Linked DNA regions of Struthio camelus. The protein of the gene in region 1 interacts with the protein of each later gene in a biochemical or structural test. Links are inferred from orthologs where the notes say so. Each region holds a gene or a part of one and is shown in the gene's direction. Other genes may lie near its edges.

Evidence for each region.
Region 2: the proteins of CASK (region 1) and CNTNAP2 form a complex in vitro, tested with the Homo sapiens proteins (2 studies listed by BioGRID and IntAct, with this or other methods). The link is inferred for Struthio camelus from reciprocal best matches to the Homo sapiens genes CASK and CNTNAP2.

The regions. Positions count from the first base shown.
Region 1 is NC_090942.1:127,538,618-127,546,608, forward strand, and holds the start of CASK (peripheral plasma membrane protein CASK), read left to right. Parts: upstream 1-4,963; 5' UTR 4,964-5,028; coding exon 5,029-5,087; intron 5,088-7,991. UniProt on the Homo sapiens protein: Multidomain scaffolding Mg(2+)-independent protein kinase that catalyzes the phosphotransfer from ATP to proteins such as NRXN1, and plays a role in synaptic transmembrane protein anchoring and ion channel trafficking.
Region 2 is NC_090943.1:61,393,853-61,400,834, forward strand, and holds the start of CNTNAP2 (contactin-associated protein-like 2), read left to right. Parts: upstream 1-3,955; 5' UTR 3,956-4,703; coding exon 4,704-4,800; intron 4,801-6,982. UniProt on the Homo sapiens protein: Required for gap junction formation. Required, with CNTNAP1, for radial and longitudinal organization of myelinated axons.

The DNA.
Region 1 (7,991 bases):
CATTAAACAATGGAGAACTCACATTGCAGAGGAGCTTGAAAAGCTCCAGTAAGGAGAAAATGCAGTTAGAGAGAGATTTTTCTAGACACACATACCATTTACCTGTAAGATACACATTCACGGGAAAGGAGGCCTTCTTATTTCTGGTGTGGAACTGCTTGTTCAATGCATTACCTTTGAGTTCAGCTGTTGCAGACTGCTCTGCCATACATTCGCTTTCCAAGCTGACTTAATTACATACTTCTGTGAGGAGTTATCCAGACTTATTCAGAGTTGGTTGATGGCTTTTTAGGATCTTCCTGATACAGACATTTTTGACAAGGACTGAAAATGTATATGTCGTGATCCAACTATCACCTCTTTTCATTGCAACTTAAACACATTTCTGTTGCCCAAATTATGAATTGTCAGGTCATAGAATTTGCACTCATAAACAATATGGTAAAGTTTGTCAGAAATGTGGTAGGCCTCTAAAATTGTCTTATGAATCACTAACACTAATCACTCATCTTTAGTGTCAATATCATTCTGAAACCTCATAATGGGAGTGGATCAAATACACAGGTTACAGATCAAAGTACCAGGAGCACTACTATGCTTAGCATCTCGGTTATCAAATTTGGTGCTTCCTACAGTTTTTGGATTACAGACTACTGTCAGCTCCTAGAATTTCATGTTAATCACCATGTACCTTTTACAGCATGCTTTTAAATGAAAACACTATAAAGGCTGATCAAATGTTACTCATAATTATGGTTCTATAAACAACCTTTGAACAACTTATTGTTGCTTTGTGGCTCACCAGTAGTGAGCCATATAGGCTCACAGACATACAGGCACACCGTAAGAAGGCCACAGCCAGAAAAAATTTGGAAACCCCATAAAGTTTTATGAAATAGATTTTCTAGTGCCCAAACCCACACTTAGCTATTTCTTACGACTTTAACATGAAATTTTGAATTAAACAATAGTGGTTTGCCTAAAAATATAACACTGTAAACTGGCAGCTCAGAATCTGACTGACAAACAGCGCAAATGCCTGCAGCGGGTTGGGGAAGGCAATCAGGGATGATAAAGCATATCTTTTCTTTCAATAGTCAGTGTTCTCGTTCTTCTGTGTTCCCTATGAAGAAGTGAGTACATCCCTCTCCCAGTCCTGCAATGGCTGATGCGCTGAACTGTTTTCATCATCCTTTTAAGCAAATCATTCCAGGTCTCAAGCGTAAAGTTTTTTTCTGCTTGTATTTCAAATAGAATTTTGTTATATACTTTTTTTATGAGATTTCAGATGTGTGTATTTCAGAATTCAACCTTAAGCTTTTAAATCAAACCCATGTCTCTTGTGGCTCTTGAAATCTATCAAGGAGATATATTGGATATTCGGGTGAAGATTATTAACACCTGCCTGTGAAAGGGCAAGGGAATGACCACTTTCAAACTTGGGGATGAAATTCATGATCACAAACATACCTGCATGTATATTGCCTGGATGATCATACTTATTGTTGGGAGTTTGCTGCTGACAAAGTTGACAAACTGACACTCTTATTTTCGTGAGCCCAATCAATTTGAATCTAAGATTAGCATAGATACAGATTATCGCATAGTTCTCATCAATCGTAGTAACTTCTGACTTAGTGATACCCTTACTGATTCTGCTATTTTTGTAGCAACTTTTGATAATACAGATCTGCATATAAATCCTAGATCCTGCTTCAGACAAATTCTTTCTTTTCACCCAAGTCAAAAGTTAGCACCCGCTTTGGTCTTCCTCCTGTTAAACGAGGAGATCTGATATATTTGCAGCCTTTGATACTTTTGTCTTGCTTCTTGCAAGCCCAAGCAATGAATGCCACAGCCACTCTAATAAGAGTGTCTTAATTTTGTTCCGCAAAGAAACAATTAGGCCATTAGGTAAAAAAGAAGCCATCATCCTCCTTCCTCAAAGGTAGTAGGACCCTTCAAGCAGGCTAGACTCTAGGGAACGAATCGCCTATCATAGGGAAAGTCCATTTGTATTAAGTGTGCTCCCAGAAACTACCTTCCCAGGACGATGACTCTGACTCTCTCTGCGCTGAGACCTTGTTCCATTAGGAAACCATGTTTACGTGTTCCGCCATCTCACGATGGAGCCAGCTGCCCTCCAAGGTTCTTAAAGGGTTTGTTCTGTTATAACAATTTGCCCTGAAGCTCCCCACATAAGCACTATGCTTAGTACTCTTAGCGTTTGGCTTTGTCTGTCAAACGCAGGTGACGTAGCCTCGCGTACCTCTTGGTGCTCGGCATTCAGAAGGTGAGACCTCTGTGAAGTGGTGCTGCTAGAACAGAAAAAGCATCTGCCTCAGCTGTGGAATGGATCTGCTATTTCAATATGCATTTTTCTTCTTTGAGTGTTCTTGTATCAATTATTCTTGCCAGCTTCTAATAATGGCCCTGCAGATAATCAGATGACAATTTCTGTTCAAAATATAAATGAATGCTCATCCATATTCTGCAACTTCTTGAGTTTAACACTGTGAGGGTACTACTACATGGTTGTGCTGGCTTCAGAAAAGTGAAAGACAGTTGCTTACATGTTTAGCAGTGTGAAATTCAGGGAGTAGACAATCTAACTATTGGCTTTCTGTTTGCATTCTAAATAGCAGATGATGTTTAATATTTTTTATAAAGGTTTGTATGGCTTAGAGCATAGTCTCACGGGAATGTCTCTCACCGCATAGGCTACCACCGTGCAGGAGATACGTGCTATTATTTCCACAGATTCTCTTGATTTGTCTTTTGAATTTGTCTGGAGAAAGGAAGGAGGTGTTCTTGCCAAAGTGTCCTTTGTTCTGCATTTTAAAGCTAATCTTTAAAGCATCTCATCGGATAATTTTGCTTTGACAGGCTTTCTCCTGTGCAGGGGAAACAAATGCATAATTTCCCTTTGTGTTAATGAGTTTTAAGAAGTTGCATGTGTGCTAAAGTACTTCAGCAAAAATAAATATTTCCATAAACTGCAAAACACTTCCTGGATAATTCCTTCAAGAGCTTTGCTTTTTTCTGCAAGCCATCTAATTCAAACATTGGAAAAGCACAGCTAAACAACTTAGTCTATCTTTTGTACAGAATTTCATTTAATGGGTCAAAAGTAACAGAACAGAATGTATCAAGTAAGTTATGTTTACAATTAACTGAATGTCTAGTCATTCTTTTTAAAGGGTTATTCAGAGAAGATTAAAAAAAAAAGCCACGACATATCTGCCCAAAGGAGAAAAAGTACATCTAGGGACACTCTTTAAAAAGTTCTTTTAATTCACTACTTTGAGGACTAGTAAGAAGGTGGCTGTTTTCCTAATAACGAAGGGGAAACAAATTATGCTACAGAAAATATCTACATCCTCCTGAAACTAATAGACTGGTAGGAAAAAAAAAAAACACACTCCACCTGGACAAAGCTCTAGAAACGTTCTGCGTAACTGTTCTTTATTTCTACAACCAAGTCCGTGAAAACTAAAAAGGACGCCTGTCCCTACCGAACACGCGTGCAGCTGAAACGCCTCACCTTTTCCATAAATAACAGCATTAACGACCCACGGCAAGTGGGGAAACGCTCCTCTCTTCCCGCACCTGCCTACACATGAGGCGCCCGCCAGCTCCAGGCCCTTGCCTTCCCTCCGGCGGCTGCGCGCAGAGCGGTGCGTGAGGCGCCAGCGACGCAGCGACGGGGCCAACGGCTGCGCGCGCGGCACCACCCGCCACCGGCGCCGCGCGCGCAGTCGTTGGCTCGCTGCGAGCTGGAGGAAGAGGCGGCGGCGGCGATACCCCCTCCCCCCACACTGACGACGGGGGAGGGGGCGGCTTAAAAGATAAGAAAGGTTAATACCTGAACCCCGCCCGCCCACTCGCCTCCTCTCCTCTCCTCTCCTCTGCCCGCCGCCGCCGCCGCTCGCCCCGCCTCCGACGGGCTGCTCACTCCCCTCCCCCCACCCCCGCACCGCACCAGCGGGCACTGACAACCACCCGCCGCGCCGCGCCGCGCCGCGCCGCCCTCCCCGCGGTATGATGTCATCGGAGCCCGCGCCTGCGCACATCGGGCCGCCCCCAACGGCCAGTAGGCGTGGCCCCGCGCACGACTCTGGCGGGGCTGGCGTGGGGGTGGGGAGAAAAGCGAGCGGAAACGAGCGCAGCCCCCCGCGTGCGTGCATGCGTGCGTGCCGCGCCTGCTCGGCCTGCCTGTGGAGGGTGCGCGCGCGCCGCGGCGGCGGCTTTGCGTGACGGTGTTTGGGAGCGCGCGCGCGCCCGCCCGCCCGCCCTCCAGTAAAGCAAGCGCCTATCGCGGCCGCCGCCGCTGCTGCTGCTTCTGCGCCTCGCGCCTCGGAGCGTAATCAACCGCCGCGCCGGCAACTCCCCGCCCCTCCCCCTCCCACTATTATCCTTCTCTCTCCCTCCCTCCCTCCCTCGATCCCTCCGGGCGCGCGCGCGCGCCCCCCCCCCCCGCCCGCCCGGCCGGGAGCGCGCGGCCGCCCGCCCGGCGAGGGAGCGAGACGGCGCTGCCGCCTGCTGCCGGCCCCTCTTCCCTCCTCGCCGTGTGGTGCCGGTCCCCTCCATGGACCTCGCGCCGCCCCGCTAGCCAGAGCTGCCCGCTCGCCCGCCCGCCGCCGCTGGGGAGTAGCCGGCTGAGAGGGGGAGGGAGGGAGGGGGCGGGAGGGGGGTGGGGGGAGGACGAGGAGGAGGAGGAAGGTGGGGTCGCGGAGTGTGTGACACGCGCGGGGAGCGGCGGCGGCCGCGGCCCGCAGGAGGAGGCGCCGGGAGTCCCGGCGCGGCCGTGGGAGCCGCCGGGCGGGCGGCGGCGGCGCCCGAGGAAGGTGGCGGCGGCGGTGGGAGCCGTTGTAGCGGTTGGGATTTACCGTGGTGGTGGCGGTTGGCGCTGAGCGGCAGAGGAGCGCGCCGCGCGGCGGGGATCGTGCCCGCGGCCCGCCCGCCCGCCCTCCCCCCTTCGCCGGCGCCGCCGCCGCCTCTCGGGCTGATCCCCCCCCCGCCCGGACCATGGCCGACGACGACGTGCTGTTCGAGGACGTGTACGAGCTCTGCGAGGTGATCGGCAAGTGAGTCCCGCGGGCAGTGGGAGACGGGCAGGGCGTGCGTGTGCGCGACCGAGCAGAGCGGGGGAGGAGGCGGCGGGGGCCGCGGTAGCGCCGTGCCCGGCCCCTCCCGCGGGGCGCGGAGGGAGAGGGATGCTCTGCTCGGCACCCACCTGAGTCGCCGCCAGTGAGTCCGTGCGTGCGGTGTGGGGTCCGCGGCCCCCCTTGTGCTCGTGGCGGTGACATGACAAGTGCCTTCTCCGCGCTGCCCACCTTCTTTATTGCGCGGGAGGCGGAAGGGGGAGAAGTGACCCGATGTTTCCTCAGCCACCATGATTAACCGCCTAACCATCACTCAGCCTGGCTGCAGCAACCACTTCCCACCCCTTTTCTTCTCCTCCCCCCTATATCCCGTTCCTGGCACACCCATCAACGATTGCCTATTGGGGAAGGGAAAGGAAAGGTATCTCTCTCTGTGGATCCACCTATCCACTGGGCGTCTGCGTATTTGTACGCCAGGTGTTGGGTTTTTTTCTCTTTCCTTTACTGCATGATAACCGGCTTGTTAGTGGCGGTACTAGTCACACTCAGGTAGTGCTCAGTTGCCTTCCACCCTCATCCGTGTGGAAATAAAGATGTATCGGGCAGTAAGAGAACTTGGCCTTTTGAGTCTTATTATGCAACCGCTATTAAACCAATGTTCAAGGCTTGTGTCAAACCTAGCAGTTGAGGTAGCTGCTAGAATTGCCCAGCTGCTCGTTTTGGGTCACTGCTTTGATTGGTGGATGAAAATGACAGTCCGAGTGTCAGTCTTTGTATAATCACGCCAAGGAAATGAAGAGAATCCCAAAAATCAGGGGACAATCAAGAATTAAAGCTAATTCCCCCCCCTCCTCCATTGGTTGTGACTCTCCAGTTTTGAAATCCATTCTATGTTTCTTTGTCATCTTTTGTATGTCTTCTGTAGTTGTGCTTGTGTTGCGAAATGGGCATGAGAGGTGTACCAATATTGTGACTTCCTAATTTTCTGTATGTTTCTGATTCAAAAGCAGAGATTGCTGTGGAAGCCCTAATAGTGATTCTGTTTGGAGTGTCTGCAGTTTTTTCTTCGTGACAATGAATTTTATAAGAATAATTGGTTTGAATTTAAACCAATAATTTTTTCTTCCTACATTTTCCTGTCCACTCTCCACCAATATGCTTTTCAATTGCTATATCAAGAGCTGCCTACTTGTAAAGTTAGGGCTAAAAAAATAATCTGAAATTAATCTTTCCACAGAATTATACTAAAATGCTGGTCTTGGACTTAGCAGGTTACTTCATTGTCTGCAAAAGTTTCAGCACGTAGTTCTGTCATTTAACAGGTTATTAGCTTTCTGTTAACATAACCAACTTTCCTAGAGATTGAGCTGCAACGGCCTTGTTTACTGGCATAAACTGAAGTGATTGCTCTAACTTAATGCTAGTGGTTTGGTGAAGAGCTTCTGTAGGAGAGAAACAAAACCCTGTTATTAAACGTGTTTTGAAGATTATTTTTGGCACATTTATTTCACAAGTGGTTTTATGCTAACCACTGTAGTTCGCATACCTGATTTTATTCATATCTGACTACTGTTAGGAAGAAGGTGTAGTGGTTATGTTTAATGTGACTGCACATCCTTTTAGAGAATGGATCATTCACAGGGATCCAAACGTCTGCACGTTTCAAAGGGCTTTTTGTTTTGTGATCAGAGAATTTTGAAGAGAGAGCGCAAAAGCTGTGAGTTAGATATTAGCTATAGAAGTTTCACATGACGTTTTTGTAGTACAGGTCGCATTGGGATGTAAATCAATCTAACAAATGTTAAATCAGAGGAGTATAATGATGCCAAGCGCACTGTGGCAAAAACAGAGTGGGTCACTGAAAACAGCAGCAGTGGTGATGTGAAGGATTATATAGCTCGTTGTTAGTGCTGATGATCTTCTGCACAGATGTTATGTGAGTCCTCTAAAAACATTTGAAAGAAATACATAGTATCATATACAGTTGTTTAAGCAATATTCTTGTTTCTGTGCAGCACTATGAAGGATGCCTTCCTAGGGACCACGGATGCAATGTTTTTAGTGTCTTTTACGTAGCGCTTTGCTCATCTTCAAGCAACTTGAGGAAGACTGCTGTAAATCTGCTTTGAATTGCTACATATGCATCTTACTAAACATCTTTCAGTGAAACATCAACTAAATGTCTCCATGTTTCTGTGATTTATTATTGATTGATACAGTAATTCAGTTCTTGCAGATAACATATCTGGCCCTGATTTGCGTTTCAGATGCATGAAATATTTAAATGTGTAATTTATCTTTCCTAAATATGTAGTTACCGCTGTCATTTTAAATAGATAGAAAGATATTTTCACAAAGGGTGTGGGAAAGAGATTTTAGACTAAACATTCCATCATTTTGTAGTCAAACTTGTAAGAGAAATCTCTCAGTTCTTGTTCTGTTGACTTTAAAAAATAAGTAATCTCTGGGAGATAGTATCAGCTGGGAAACTCTGTGGTCCAGTTTGCTGAGGCTTATTTTAAACTTTAGATTAACAGTTTTAAATACAATAAACTGATCCAAGTGATGGACTTATTTTATATAAACACAATGACAATAACTTCTGGTGTGCTGGAGTGTATAACAATTACAATGTAGTAGTATATGAATGAATTTACTGAAATGACAGAAGGATAAACTGTTTATTACATGGCATTTCACATGTTTAAGTTCTCTATGCATGCCTTTTTCATTTTGAATGGGTGAAGGAGAAAAGGGCCAGGAGGAACAGAGGGAAATTTTAGTTCATGTTTCCTCTAGAAGAACTTAAAGGCAATTTTCTTTTGCCTATATTGGCAGTATAACTTTCAATTTCTGGAAGCTATACAGAGTTAAAAGTTAGAATAA
Region 2 (6,982 bases), on another chromosome or scaffold:
AGGACTAGAAGCATCTTTTACTACAATTACCTATACACACATTTCTGTTTTTATTTGTTTGTTTGTTTTTATAAATCTAGAACAGCAAAACAATGATTGCAAGGCCAAAATACATTCAGTTCAAACTGCAATGCTGTGTATTTTTAGCTACATGAGACTAGAAGATGATAATGGATCTTTTCTGCTAATGCACCATCATCTTCCTTTTTAGCTACATTAGGAAAGACCTTCTTTTCTTAAATTTTGAGAAAATGAAAATTTTCTACAAATGTTTTAAAGCTTCTCACAGGCAGGTCATCATACTCTTCATGTGCCCTCTTCCTCCCTCAGAGAAAATCTATGTGTTTATACAGTCCAGGTGAAGAACCCTGCAATGTTATTAACAAATCCAAGAGTTGCTTCAATAATAGAGCTCTCTGTTATATGGCACATAATTCTGTGCATATAATTGTAAAGTTTTGGTTGGTCACAAGTTGAAAGGTATTGCATTTCTTTTTCCTGCGTGAAGTGCTTAAATTTACCATCACAGAGGTTTGGATGGGAATTCTGCTAAGGATGATTTTTAGAGCTCTGACATTCAAGGGGTTTTTGGCAACCAAAAATACAAAAAGAAGAAATGTATTAAAACGTTAGATTGTCAGAGATAAATAGGCAAGGCTTTTATTTTTCAGAATTAATTTGGAAGCTTCATATTCCTTTTCCTTTTCAATTTGATTCATTTTCTTCTGTGATCCTCAGCTGATCACTTTATTGGGTGCCATTTGGTCTTACCAATATTTGAAATTCTTAATTGCATTTTCTAGCTTTCTGACATTGTGTTTTTCTTCTTGACATTCACATAGTGTAAATATAGCTGTGTCCATGATGAATTCCATTTAGCAGACAATGCTTGACAGCCCTAGTAAATTCAGAAGGATCTATTCGTTCATCAATATGTGTGTATAATTTCCATTAAGCTCAATAAAATTTGTGTACAGCTGTAATAACTAGACTCTTTTTAACACTTCAGTGTCTTACCAGTTCCCAGGCAGGTTTCATCTGCAGACTGAGATGTCCTCTTTGACTTCTAAAGCTCTGGGGGGGAGAAGGGGGTGAAAGATAAGGAAGGTTTAATTTCCCTATGGGAGTAACTCAGCTGGGAGCGCCTCCTTGAGTGAGTCTTGGCTGGTACATCTGTCCCACTCACTGCTAGGACACTTTCCTAACCTGCATTGTGTGGTGGATCAGTACAGCCCTCGCACATTGCAGGCACTTGCTAGTTGCAGGATAGGAGCGCTCAGTCTTACAGATGTCCAGACCAGACAGCAGGGCTGTCTCAATGCTTGCTTTGAAGCTTTCTTTTATTCTGGAAAGGAAAGGGTAGGAGGAAGAGTAGAAGAGGGAAGCATCTAATAACTTCTTATTGTGCCCTAATACAATTTGACCATGTTTTCATTTCAAGGGCTTATATATTCAACTTGGATTTGTTGAATCATTCAAAGTGATGTTTCAAAAATATCGTTCAGGGAAAAAAAAAAAGTGTATTTTGGTTAGCTTATTTTGTAGGCCTTAAAATGCCTAAAGATCTTCGCAGTGATTTCTGTGTGACAGAACCAGTCAAATTTAGTGATCTGGTAGGCCCCAGCAGTGTTTATATTAAAAATAATTGCATTATTCTTGCACAACTCATTGCTGTTGCTGCATAGTTTAAATATTTTATGTAGTTTTTAAGGGTAGGTCCTATTCTGAGGTGGGGAAAATGCAATAATCTGTACCATTTCTTCCGTCTTAAACCACAGGGAAACTTTCCACTATTACCACTACTGAGATGTTCATCAATCAACCTGCTGAATCTTCCTGTTTTGGATTGCTTGTCTTATCCTTTAAAACTGCTTTTTGAAATGTGGGTGTCTACTTGTGAGCCACTTGAATACATTTTTGAAAGCCCCAATTAAAATATGCTGAAGTGTAAAGTTTGATCAATTTGAATCAAGTCAGATTTTGGTCCAGTGGAGGACTTCACTGAGTAGATGATATACAAGTATAAAAAATCTTGCTTTTGTTGTGCTTATTGGAAGCACCTTAAGGAGAGGGTATTTATTTTGCAAAATGGTCAGCTGAGTAGGTTTTTACATACCTACTCAGAAGTTGTTTGCTCAGGTGAAAATAAAGGCCACTCAATATTGAAAGGGTTACAGGATCTCAAGATGAAAGTGATACGGCTTTTTGCACATCATACCCAGATGTTTTTCTCTTTTCCGTGAATATATTCAGTCAGTTTCTGACAGTGTATCAGCACTGTTGCTTCTGCTGTAGCTAAAGACCAGAAAATGTAGGTCTGCAATTGTAAAAAGTGGTAAGATATGGAGCAGGAGGAGAATGGAAGATGCTAATAAGAAAGAAGTTACAGAGAGAGGTAAGATTGAATTAGTTCAATGGCATTGATTAATATTTGGTTCTTAGCTCATTCCAAAAAACTTACTTACGCTAGTGATTACTCAACATTAAGAAGTATCTATGGGTGTGCAGACTGGGGAGGGCAGGGCACAGGGCTCAGGATGATGCAGGAAGTAGATAGCAAATTCTCTGTGGGAACATATATTCTCTCAAAAAGAGCTAAGTGTGGTAACTTTTAGCATTCATAGTGCACTTTTTTATTCCACATTTGCTACAGACATATTGGCATTACTTCTGAGAAAACATTTAAAATATGGATGTATTAATATTCCATATTGATGTGGAAAGCAAGGGGAACGATGGAGAAGGGAGTATTATGGTAGTTGCGTAAGATTACTGAGACAGGTTTTCCCAGAACTGGCACATAAGCTTTGTCCTGTGCTGTGCTCAAACCTCTAGGCCACAGCTCTCCTGGGATATCACATATTATGTATGAATGAGTTTTCAAAGTGACCTAAAAGATAGATGCTGCCACTGAAAAGCAGTAGGACAGAGGATCTTAATATCCCATGGCCTTTCTGAAAATCTCATCTTGCAAGCAGTCTTAACCACTTCATCATACTCACTAAATAGCAGCAGATACTGGTTAACAGCATGTGTATTAGTTCTTGAAAAAAATTTTATCACTGATTTTGGGCACCTCTAAAGAAGTTATCTCTCTCCATTTCTCAGTCTTCTCTATATAGCATCTGAGAAATAATTGTTTTCATTTTTCTTTGCCTCACTGATGGTAGAATAAATAATCCAGGAATAACTCCCCACCCCCATTATTCTACCATATCTGGTGAGCAATAACTTTCAGTTCCGTCTGTTTAAGGGTGATGGAGGGAGGGATGGAAAGGGATGGAAAAGAGAAGGCAGATTCTTGAAACCCCTGAACTGTAAGGCTAGAATTCGACCTCAGTCATTGCTTTTAGGCAAAACCCGTAGCGCTGCTTCAATGCAGCTTTCTGTCTGGCTCGCTCTCTGTGTGCGAATTCACTACCGGAGGGAAGCGTCTGCATGAGCGGCTCCTGCAGCCCCAGCTCTCCACAGGCGGGATGGTGCTCAGCCCCCCGGGACTAGGACCGCTCGGAAGACTTGCCTGCTGGGCGCCTGGCTGGCATCCCGGGAGGCCGGAGCTGCGAGCCTGAACCACCTCCGCCCGTGGGGCGCCCACGGCGGCGGAAGCCCGGCGGCGGCCGCCGCTCCTGCGCCCGGGGGCGGGCAGCGGCGCCCCGCGGCGCGGCGCGACGCGCCTCCGCGCACAACTTCAGCACCGCGGACAGCGGCCTCCCCGCGGCCCCTCTCGGCGGCCCTGCGCGGCCCGGGCCCACGCCGAGGTGCCCCGGCTCCGGCTCTGAACCAGGCCCGGCAGGACGAGGAGGGTCCTGGCGGCCGGAGGGGCGCAGAGGAAGAGGGAGGAGCTGGAGGAAGGGGAGGGAGCGCTAAAGAGAGGATTCTCCCTTCTGCTTTTTCTTTCTTTATTCCCCCCCCCCCCCCCGGTGTTTTGGGGAGGTTGCTGCTGCTTCTGCTGGTGGCAGCGTTTCCTCCTGCTGGAAAATGATGAATGCATGAGGAGAGAGGCTCTGAGCCTGCTTCTCTGCTACGGGAGTGTCTTTCCCTCCCTCTCTCTCCCTCTCCCGGTTCCTGTGTGTGTGTTTGGCTCCCTAGCTGTGTGTGCGTGTACACTGTGTATATATATCTGAGCTGGGAGGTTATTGCAAGCTTCTCTCAGCAGCGCTGCTCTGTGCAGGAAGAAGGGCTCAGCTGCAGTGGTAGCATTAACAGCAGCATTAGCAGCACCAACAGCTTTTTCTTCCTTTCTCCCTTCCCTTCATCCCTATCTCCCTTTCCCTCTCCCCCACCACCCCTCCCCTTTTTGGGGGTTGCTTTTTTGATTTTTATTTTTCTCTCCTCCTACAAACCTTGTTATCTGATACTTTGTGGCTTTTTATTTTCCCCCTGAGAAGGAGGAACACACACACACACACACACACACACACACATACACAAACACACACACACACACACACACACACACACACACACACACACTCACATAGAGCAATAAGGGAAAGAAAAGTATTGGGACTTATCCTGCTGCTGCAAACCAAGAGATAGCAGACGAAGAGGGGGGTTGGCTTCTACCCCAAGGTAAAGCCCAGCCCCCTTTACCTCCTCGCCACCTCCTCCAAGAAAGAGGAGAGAGAGAGAAGGGGGCAAAGTGGAGAAAAGCAGGTCTTCAGCAGCTGGCATTTGGAGTACAGGGAGCCAGGAAGTGAAGGATGGTTGTGGTTACCCGAGCTGGCTGCAGGGCAGCTCTCTTCCTCTGGATTTTCAGCAGCATTAGCTGCAGAGCCAGGACTGCTCTCCCTGCATCTCGTAAGTACCTTTTTCAGAGAACCATGCACATTTTCAGCTCTGCAATAAACCAGAAGGGGCTTCCCACAACTCTGGGAGGGTGTTTATTTTTTCTCTGATGGTGAATCTTGTGTTTGATTTTCTGTGTATTTGCCTGTGCATGTGTGCACTGAGGTTTGATACTGTTTGCAATGCTCTCATCAGATCTTCCTTATGCTGATAATTTTAGTGAGGCTGGTGGTAGCTGATGCTGAAAGTTGAAAGACTTGCTCCGTGATACAGACTTGGTTCTGCAGTGGAGTCAGAGGGGGAAAGGAATCGGAAGAAAGACGTTTAAAGTTTGGGGGTGGATTTTTGGTTGGTTGGTTTTTGGTTTTTTTCCCCTTGTTCAGAAGGTGTGCAATTTGTATTTGGAAGTACTTCACTTCTGCGTTTGTGGGAAGGAAAAGAGGAGACATGGGCAGTTTCCATAACTAGTGTTTTATAAAGGAGAATTAGAAAGTAAAGGTTTGCAGCAAGAGAAAATTTTATCTTCTGTGAAGAGGAAGGAGTGACAGTGACTTGATGAGAAGGAACTGAACCAGGACAGCTTTTCTTGAGAGGGAAGTTTTGCTTCCCATAATAAATGAGCAAAGGTATTTTGGAACTGACCAGAAATTGCCCTCCTAGGGAGGCAGAAGTGGTAGAGAAATAATGAAGCATCTGATGAAATGCTAAACTTTAGACTGGAAGAGTGCAGAGCACCTATACAGGACCCAGTTCTGCTGTCAGGGTAAAAATGACAGCATACTCATTGATTTCAACGGGTTTTAGGTCAAACCTTTAATGTTGCAATGAACCGTAGTTTCCAGTAAAACATTTGCAGGTAGATGTTAATGTTAAGTGTTTAGTTGTTTCTCTGCAGCCGATGTAAAGCGTTTGCCATTTGCAAACTATTTTTGAAATGCATACTGAAAGGAAGCCTACCATTTTTATAGAATCATCAAAAATAGACGCTACTATTGACTTCCTCTGCTGTTTATAGAGGAAGAAGTATTCCAGAAATGTTACAGATAGATGCGTTGGAGTTGTGTGTGTGTATCTGTATGTGGGCTGGTTCTACTGATCAAGCTGGGGATCATCTTAGAATGTAATGTGTATACTGCATAGAGATGTATGTGGATCATTGTTTTTATTTATTTATTTTCAGGGGCAGAGGGAATGAACAGTGCAACGATTAGGGCACTGGAGCATTTCTGTACTTTTCTTACTGGGTTTCTATCTGATATCATCTGATACCTTTTGAAAAATAAAGCAATGTTATTGCTTCAGGATATGCCTACACTTGCTTAGATATTTATTTGTATGACAACAGAAGATTTACAGCAGTGCTTGTGTTATATCGAAGTCTCAGAGGTTATAGGATATAGGTTCAGGTTGATTTTTTTTTCCTCCTTTAATTTAGGAACAATACCAGTCCTAGGTTTACTATTTGGTCTTGACTGGTCATCTAATTTTTCTTCTGAGTGTTATATCTCCATTATCATCCCTAGGGTACTGTGCATAACGGTAAAAGACAAGAAGAAGATTTATGCCCTAGGTTATCAAAAATCTGTTCTTGGAAAATAACATTCCCTGTATTCTTTTTTTATAACAGGATTTAGAGCTTTTTTGTCAATCGGTCGCTAATGGCTGTAGTTTAACTTGAAAATGACCCACCATAGCTTATCTCATTACCCAATAAACAAATGTTTAAGTTTTGAAAGAAGTTAGTTGAGAAGCTAGAGGCAGTAATAATATGATTATAACCAGAAACTCTTTGAAGAAAAGGATATATATAATCTTAATTCAAATTTACTCATATACATTTCCATCTTACAGATTTTTTCCAGCTATTTGAAGATTTCTTCATATAAATTCACCTCCCTAGGGCATATACGCTACACTCCTTATGTATTTACATTTCTGATTCACTTCTGAAAGTGAAAAGCAGATAGATTTGTTTATTGGAAACAGACACATAGCTGCAAGTACCTGTCAATCAGTTGCAAAAAGAGCACACACATTACAGTTTATGAAAAATGTTTAGAATTTTTTTCTAAAAGACGTGTCCGTACTGTTGAAATGGTACCACAGTAGGAACTCATGTGTTATGTCACGGTGTTTTGGTGCACCACTTAACTGGTTATTCTGTTGCACGCTTTAGTATACAAACTGATTACTG